Linked DNA regions of Caenorhabditis elegans. The protein of the gene in region 1 purifies or fractionates together with the protein of each later gene. This does not show direct contact. Each region holds a gene or a part of one and is shown on either strand. Other genes may lie near its edges.

What was found. The genes of interacting proteins can lie anywhere in the genome.
Region 2: the proteins of T23B5.3 (region 1) and egc-2 fractionate together in Caenorhabditis elegans (co-fractionation; one large-scale study listed by BioGRID). This does not show direct contact.

Annotation. Positions count from the first base shown.
Region 1 is NC_003282.8:12,686,699-12,691,825, reverse strand, and holds the start of T23B5.3 (C3H1-type domain-containing protein), read right to left. Parts: upstream 3,157-5,127; coding exon 3,093-3,156; intron 3,042-3,092; coding exon 2,944-3,041; intron 505-2,943; exon of another isoform or gene 455-504; intron 1-454.
Region 2 is NC_003282.8:8,899,837-8,903,891, reverse strand, and holds egc-2 (CCHC-type domain-containing protein), read right to left. Parts: upstream 2,247-4,055; 5' UTR 2,232-2,246; coding exon 2,175-2,231; intron 2,129-2,174; coding exon 1,507-2,128; intron 1,460-1,506; coding exon 1,142-1,459; intron 1,096-1,141; coding exon 932-1,095; 3' UTR 715-931; downstream 1-714. Other genes in the region: Putative serine/threonine-protein phosphatase C27B7.6, read left to right, coding at 1-3, 111-191, 492-645; rad-54.L2 (Helicase ARIP4), read right to left, coding at 2,845-2,930, 2,977-3,126, 3,170-4,055.

The DNA.
Region 1 (5,127 bases):
AATTTGTTTTTTGTTTTGCTATTTTTCTATTCTAAAATTAGAATTTTTAGATAAAAACATTTTAAAAATAGTTTTTTTTTTTAATTCAAAAATTCGTTTTTCTTTGTGGGAAATTGAAATTTTCTAATTTTTTTTTGTGAATTCAAATTTCCAATATTTTCTGCAGAAAATTCAAAATAATGTTTGGCGGGAAATTCAAATTCCTATAATTTTTCCCTAGAAAAACAGATTTTCAAAAAAAATTTTGCAAGAACTGTAAAATCATGTTTTCTTCGGGGAGTACACGGCCTTCGTAAATCTACACATGGCCGTGTGAGAGAATTCCCAACCATTCTCAAACACGAGAAGCCCGAGAAAATCGAAATTGAGACTCAAAAAAAAGCAGCCCGGCAAAAATTTCGACGAAGCGTGAAAAAATGGAGGTGACAGCAGGAGTAGAGGGGGGGGGGGGGGGAGAAAAGAAAGTGAGAAGAACGAGAAGGAACTTAATCGGATTACGGTGTGACTGTCCTCCCGCACACACACCACAGAAATTGAGATTCATTGAAAAGATTCAATCGTTTGCATTTGAATACAGCTACCGCCGCAGAGAGGGAAGAAAAAACAACAACGAAATGTCGTAAGAGATGGAGAAGAAGCCCACCGTTTTTTTTAGAATTCAAATTCATCGAGAATAAAATTCAGATTACCAGGGAGAAAGGTTTTTTCAAAACTAGAATACTTTTGAAAACCGCCAAAAAAGCCTTAAATGGAGAGCCAAGAAAAGGGCGGAGCCTTCAACTCCGTCCATATCTTGGATTTTTTGGATTAATAATTTGTGTTCTTGCACTTATTTTCGCTGTATTTGTAGTGTAGTTACAAGGAACGAATCAGGCCACAATAGGCTCCGATATACCGCCACAATCCATTGGGAAATTTCGTAAATTGTATTTCTTGCAAGCAAAATATAATTCAATTTTCACTACTACACCCGTCTCAACTTTCGATAAGGAAATAGCCTCCCTGCTTACCAAGGCGTAATTATTATCCTAAAACTCTAAAAGAACGCCGCCAAAATTTGAAAATATTCGAATTTGAATTGGAAATTACAAATTTTCTTCGTTCACATAAAAGGCAGCACCACGAAAAGTGTAATTTTGAAGTTTTTCTAGTTTTTTTTTCTCTGTAGGAAGATGCTGATTCATTTGTTTAGTCATCGCCTTGCATGCACCCACCAATCGAAAAAAAAAACTAAACGTGTAAATTCTAATGAAAATCCGATAATTATAACTTCGAATATATGTTCATCGATAAAATATCATTAAAAATTGAAGAGGTTCCGAGCGAAAGTATTGAAAGCCCATCTGGTGAAATGGAAAAAAAGTGACCAAAAGATGGAAAAAGAAAGTATTTCGAAATGCTCCGGGAAGCAGCCGGCACACTGAGCCCAATTGATGAGCCCAGTGGAAAAGGAAAGCTTTTCCTTTTGCTAGAATTTTGATGAATTCAATGAAATTTATTGCGAAACATGGAACATTTTAAGCAAAATCCTGCAGAATTTACTTTAACATATCCTTCAAAAATGGGGATATCATTTTAAAATACCCAAAATTTTCTGAAATTCAGAAAAAAAAAACGCTAAATCCTATATTGAAAATTGTGATTTTTTAATTACGATAAAGAATTTAAAACGACAGAGCTTAAAAGTCTATAAAAACCGTGCCGCAAGATTGCAAAAAAAAAGTTCCGCCCATTTTTAATCAGCAACGTTCTTTTTCGACACTAATATCTCTAGACAAAACTACTGATTATGACGAGAAAAAAATCAATGCACCCAAATCAAAATGAGCCAATTTTTGATTGGCGTGTGTATGTGCTCAATATGTAGTGTGATAACCTTTTTTGTCATTTTTCCCCCAATTTTTAAATTCCGGTTGACACTTGTTAGGGAGGTCATAAAATCATTGATGAAACGGGGAATTGTTTGCGAATTTCGAATTCCCTCGAGTGAAGGTATTAAAATAAGGCAACATTTTCCCGATGCCTACTGATAAGAGAGAGGTTCATCACATGCTCTTTCACCCTTTATCGGAGATCTTTTTTAGTGATAAAAAAGTGATTACGGAGACATTGGGGGGAAATGTAGGTCAAAACTGGATGGTAGCAGCAAATTGGTCGGAAAAATATGAAAAGGGATGCTTTTTTTGCTTTTTTCTAGGATGAAGCAATGATTTCTACGCTACAATACATTGATCAATGGGCTGGAAACATAGAATTTCTTTGTAACATTATGAGAAAGATTCCATCATAATTTTCAGAAATTGTGACGTCATAGTCATTTTTCTGGGCATTTTTGCAGAGAAAAAGGATGACGTCATCACATAAAAATCGAGAATAAGGATTTCAATTTTTTGTTGAAAAATTAAAAAAAAAACTAAATTTTTAAAATGATTTTGTTTAAAGGTTTTCCGAAAAAAACTGTTTTTTTTTTCAGAAATCGGTTCGTTTCTCCATTTTTAACAATTAAAAAAATTCACTAAAAAGCACATTACGAATGTAAAATTTCAGTTTTTTTTGAAAAAAATAAATTTTAAAAATCAAAAAATTTCAATTTTTTGTAAAAATTAAAGAAAAACATTTAGACAATTTTTCGGCCAAATTTGTTTCAATATTATATTTTCAAAAACTTCCATTTTTCAAATCTCTAATTTTGGATTCCCTTTGGAACGAAGTCGAAAAAAATCCGAAATCTTCCAAATTCCGATTTTTTTTCCGGAAAAATAAAAGTTTTTTTTCATAATTATCGTCAATCAAAAAATTGATCCATCACAAATTTTCCAATTTTTCTGATAATTTTCATCGATTTTTTTACTTCTTAAAGAAAAATTAGTTAAAACTAATGTGATTTTTCGATCAAAATGATTTTTTAAATCATTTTTCAATTTAAATTTTTTAAAAACTTACCACAGACTCTTTTGGCTCAAACTTCCTCAATGGAGATCCACCACCGGGCGTCAAATTCTCACCAAACGGAAACCATTCGGATCGAGCTTCTGATTCGGCTGAAATTTTGTTTCAATATTTTTTTTTTCAATTAAAAATTGGCAAAAAACCTTTCTCCCGTTCCCATTGTGCCTGTTTTTGTCGTAGAAAATCCGAACTTTCATGGCGAATCATTTTTTGCAACGTACTGAAAAAAACAAAGATTTTTTATTTGCAAAACTTTGAAAAAAAGAGTGAATAATAAGTGCAAAATTGTTTTCGACAAGTGAAGGAGGGGGCCGGATGATAAGAAAGTTTTTAGATGGGAAAGAACAACATGTGATAGAAAATTTAAAGTTGAAGAAGAAGCGGGGGAGCGATTTTCAGAAAATTTTGAAAAAAATTCTATTAAAACAGATTGATTAGTCAAAAAATTGAAAATTTATTAGAATTCAATTTGGAATTTCGATAACCATTAATTATGTAATAAATGTGATATTTCGGATCGCGCACTGCAGGAAGATGACTAAATTAGTTATATTCAGGATTTCTAATTAGTGAGGGCCTGGAAGGTGACCTATAGACCTACTCACGAAAAGAAACTACGAATTTAAGTAGAGGCGCTTATGAATTATTCAGATATTTTTTCTATAATAAGCATGGGGAAATGGGTAGCTGTTAGCAAAAAAATCGTCAAAAACTCATGGTTTCAGGTCTTGGCACGAGCGTAACTGTTTAGCCACCGTACCCGTGATGTTATTCAATTTTTCGTTCCATTTGTTTTCGAAAATGGGTTATAATTATATGTAAAGAATTTTTTTCAAAAAAAAATCTTTCTTTGTTTTTGTTGAAAAATTTTAAATTTAATTTTTTTTCTGATGCTCGAAGATAAAAACTAAAATTAGTTTTTTTTAAATTAAAAAATTCTATTAAAAAATAACTTGAAGAATATCAGAAAAACTCTATTATCGTTTTACAGAAAATAGATTTAAAGCTAAAAAAAATTCTCGTGGCTGTCCGAATCTCCGTTCTTGCCAGGACCCAAAACCGTGAATTTTGGTAAAACATACATTATTACTGTATGCTGTAACAAAACCGTTCCAAACGACACAAATCAAAAAATGTTCAAAAATCGTAATACAACTACCTCCCCTCAATACTAGAAATACTAATAGTAACATTCGAGGGAAAACGGATGAGATAGGAGGTATTGTAGAGAGAAGAGAGTTAGAGGACGTGTGGTAATAAAATTATGCGTCGTCCTATACCTGTCACTGTTCTTCTTCTTATTCCTTTTACCACCTCTTCGGCAGCATGAATGGTAGTTTGCATAATTTGATGACCTCAAACAAGGAGGGCAGCCGCCTGCCACCTACACACTTTACACGGTTTCAGATTTTTTCGAAATTTTTGAAATTGTACTTGGTCTTGAGAATGAAAATATACAATATACACGTGGTGTCAGAGTGTCTCATATTCGCCGTAGATCTACGTAGATCTACAAAAAATGCGGGAAAAGAGACGCAGAGTTCTCACCTCATTTCGCATGGTTAAGAACGTGCTGTCGTCACATTTTTTTGAGCAAAGAATTCCCGCATTTTTTTTGTAGATCAGACCGTGATGGGACAGCCTGGCCCCACGTGCGTAAACGGGAAAACTCGAGAGCCAAAATTTTGAAGGGGTCTATATTTTCTCATTTAGATCTGCAATTTTCTGCCTCCCAAAATTAGAGTCTTGTCGTAAATTTTTTAGTTTTTGTCTTCATTCTTAATAATAGGCCCAAATTAAAAACGTCTTTACCACTGCTAAATCGATTAACAGTACAGAAAAAAGTCGAGTATGTAAGATATATCACGTAAAATCCAAACCGTACGAGATATATCTGGGGAATGTCAACTTATGTTTGACAATGTGCAAATACAAGTTCTTGAGATTGTTGCTCCGAGAGCCGAAGGGGGGGGGGGGGGTCAATTGATTTCTGATCGGATTTAGACTCAAGTGAGAAATTATGAAAACCAAGGGAAAAATGCATTTACAGCACCGATAAATATATTGAGCTGTATTTAATTTTGGGGTTTAAACGGCAAAATGTGCAATTTTTTTAGAATGTCAATCGATATACTGTGTATTTTCCCAAAACTACCGATTTTCGTAATGAGACGTTAT
Region 2 (4,055 bases), 3.8 Mb from region 1:
TAGGTGAGATTAAAGCTTCAGTACCTCTGGAAAATGTGACCGTCTAATTATTCGGAAACATGACTTCACAATCATGTTATAGGAGCATTTTCAATATGTGTAATTTCCAGCTCAAACCAAGATGAAGATCATTCTGTATTGGACATGATTCGCAAGACACAGAAAGGATATGGAGTAGAAGTTAGTTTGAAGTAAGTATCATTTACTATATATAAAGCGCTTATTCTGTGTGTCCATAGTTTGTAGTCTATGTAGCCTTTGTAGTCTGTGAAGTTTTGGCTTCTGGAGGGATAGTGAGTTAGGGTTAGTGTAGGGATATAGTTGGGGTACTGTAGTGGTACAATAGTGGTACGGTAGGAATACTGTAGGGTTACGGTAGTTTCATAAAAAATTAATTTTCAGCCCCAGAAGTCGGGGGCCGCGCCGAAGGTGCGGTCCACGGCTGGTTTTTTATATGCGAAGAAGTTTTTTCATGTTTACAATATTTCCAGAGATAAAGTCATGTCTCTTGAATCAATCCGCAAAAAATTGGGAATGACTACTAGTACGACGCCGCCTCCGCCAAGAACTCCATCTCCGGACGCTCCACTCGCCCAATCTCCGCCAATTCCACGATCGCCTCCGAGTTCTACTGAAAATGCGTAGATTTCCTTTGAATGAAGTATACTGTAGAAAATGTTCAAGTTTGAGTGTGTATAATTATGAAACGAGAGTAACATGAAACACTTTTATGAAATGAGGTTGAAGACTCAAATCAAAAATACAAGTTTTCAAATTTAGGACAGAAACAATTCCAGAACGTAAAAAACAATACCTAGAAGTCAATAAATGGAACAACAATGAAAAACAGTAAAAATACGCTGCAAATTGGGCAGAGTTCCCAATAGTAATTATTAAACATTTTCCTTGATAGCATCATAATTATCAGAAATTATGAATTTTGTGAAGCGACCGGCACGAACTGGGCAGCGATGACACGGACGTTGGGCGGAAGAACTCGTGGGAAATTGATGATAGTCGTCTCCTCGAAGTGGAATTCTCCATCGCGCATCACAGTTCTGCGTGTCTCGATTGACAAAGTCTCCGTAGAAATTTCTGTAATAATGAACATTATACAATTATAGAATTTTGATAATCTCACGTTTGGCTCCTTCTCTGCTCTGTAGAGTGTTGATTGGAGCAACTGGTGGCACTTCTTTCATCAATTTTTCAGCTGGCCCTTTTCCAGTGATAGTCATCACGTATGGCGACGGAGCTACCGGCTCGACATTGCTGAGCTTCAAAGCATTGTCCAACTGCTCTGAGAATTTGTCAATTTCGGGCGACATCATTGGTGCTGTGAAACCACTTCTCACGCTGCCAACACTTCTTGGGGTGAGACTGTTGATGCTGTAGCCGTACCCTCCATAATAAGACTCACGGGCCTTTTGATTGTCCAACTTGCTTTGATACAGTCCACCTGAAAACATAAAAATTGTTACGTTTTCCTAGTATTCAAACAATAACCTCCATGCAAAGCCTTCATATTAGAAGAGTATCTTGATGCGTCTTCTTGGAGTAAATCTTTCGTCTCAAATGGTTCCACTTCGATATCTTTTCCATCTCCGTGTTCATCCGTTTCTCCAACCTTCTTCGGGCACATTCTCGAAATGTGTCCATGCTCTTGACAATGGAAGCAGTGGCCTGGCCCACCTCGCCCACGTCTACCGGTTCGGCGGCCAGAGCGTGGTCTCTTCGATGAAGATCCCATACCATCGGATCGGGGCGAACTTCGGAAAGATCCACGCCGTGGACTACCCATTATATTCTCAGATGGCAGAGGTGTCACGCAACGTTCATTATTCATGTAAAGAGCATCCGAAACAGCAACACGAGATGATCTGCTTTCTCGATAACTGCTGTACCCTCCTCGTACGGAACCAAATCCAGAACTGTCGTTTAGGTGAGAGGAGTTTCTGGGGATTCTACCGCCAAGTCCACTAACGGATCCAAAATCAGAGAAGCCTTCACCTCCTCCAAATCCTCCTCGATACTTTCTCGGTTGATCAGTTAGCGCTCCGAATGCTCCACTATTTTGAGTTTTTGGCCATGGAGAGTATTGAGCTCTCTCAAGATAATGTTGTCTGTCCTGAAATGAATAGTTTACAAATTGTCATTAATTTGATAAAAAATACCGTTCTCGCCGACATTCCGTTTTCCATTGACTTCATTTCACTCGACAATTCCGACATATCCGACCGAAATGTCTAAAAAAATTATTTTGAGAAACTGGCAGAACGCTGAATATTTAAAAATTAATCTAAAAACCATTAATTCATCAGAAATGGGTGAGAGAAATGAAGAAAATTGAAGAAACGTGCCGAACGAGTTCAGAATTTCGTGTCGGGACCAAAACCTACAGTAACCAAGTCAGTATTTAAAAACGCGTTATTAAGAGGCACTACAAAACGGGGATCTGCGGAAAAATGTTATTCCAATTTCTCTTTCAAGCGAATCCGATAATTTAAATATTATTCGTATTTATTCATTAAATTAAAAGAGAAGGCGTATAAAACACAATTGGCAGCTTGCCGAACAGCGGAGCTGATTACTGTGTTGGAAAAAACAGAAAAATTTAATTAATTGACATACTAATGATAAAAGGGAAGAGTGTGGACAAAGTTGAAATGTGGAAATTCGAAACTTGCCTAAAATTAATTTAGGAGCCTCTATAAGAGGAAAAATAATTGAGTAAAATGATAGTGAATTATCAGAGATCTCATTGGATGTTGCATTGAGATAGATGTTGTATTTTATATGATAAAAAACGAAATGTACATCAAAAGAAAAAAATGCAAGACGTTGTTAATCAAGATCGATGACTTCTTGAACCTGCTGCGGATCATGGTTGAAATTTTTGCTTAGATACATATCACGAAGCTGACGGGCATCTATAAATTTTAAAAAATTATACGAAATTTTTTCTAGTAAACTAACGATTCTCAAAAACACTTCCGACAGCGTCAAGAATTGTTCCATCACGTAGTTTCACATAATATCCATTTTTCGGAACAACTAACTGTATTGGTGTATTTGCCTGAACCTGATGAAGCTGATCTCTATGTCCGACAATGGGAAAAACGAGTTCTAAAAATTTGAATTTTCAAAAAAACTTAAACGTCAAACTCACGTCTATCAGTAATCAATTGTTGAACTGCTCCAGCCGGGGAAAATGATGGTATTTTGCTCATAACAGCTCCCGGAAAAGCTGATGGATCTCTTGGAGGAAGCATTTGTTGAGGGTTTCCTATAGCTCCTCCATTGTTATTATTCGGATAGCCATTGTTGAATGACGTCATCGTATGACCACCTCCTTGGTGATGGAATTGACTGACATTCATTCGAAGCGTGTGAGGCATTGGTGATGGACGAATTGATGGAATTTGAGGTGATGGTCCATGAGGTGGAAATTGTGACATGTTTGGCATCGGTTGTGGAAATTGCTGTGGTGGATAAGATCCAAAATTGGGTGCAAGCTGATTAGGAGATTGTTGCCAATGATTATTGAAACTATTTTGCATGTTATTATTGAACATCGGAACTGGTGGTGGACCCATCATTCCCATTGAGCTTCCAGGAGCATTGTTATAAAAGTTAGAACTGCTCAGGCCACTCAATGGATCATAGTTCTCCATACGTCGTTCTCTATCAAAAAGTAATTGAGCTTCTCGTTTTTCCTGCTCGCTGAGTGATTGCTCTGACTCCATTATCAAGGTTTCATGAAGGAACGGTTTCCCGGCAAACATTTGACTCATTCTCTTAGTGATTGAGTCTAGAACCGGATCTCCGAAATCCCAATCATCTGTATTCCATTTGTCATGATTAACATCTTGTGCCTCATCATACATTAGAAGAGTCTCCAATTCTTTTTGCGAAATATTTGCATCAACTTGTGCATCGTCAACTACTCTTTGTTGTAGTCCATGTTTTGAAATTTGTCGATTGAAAATCGATCGCTCCATTGAGTTATCCATAATAAGACGATAAACAAATGTTTTCTTCTGTTGACCATATCG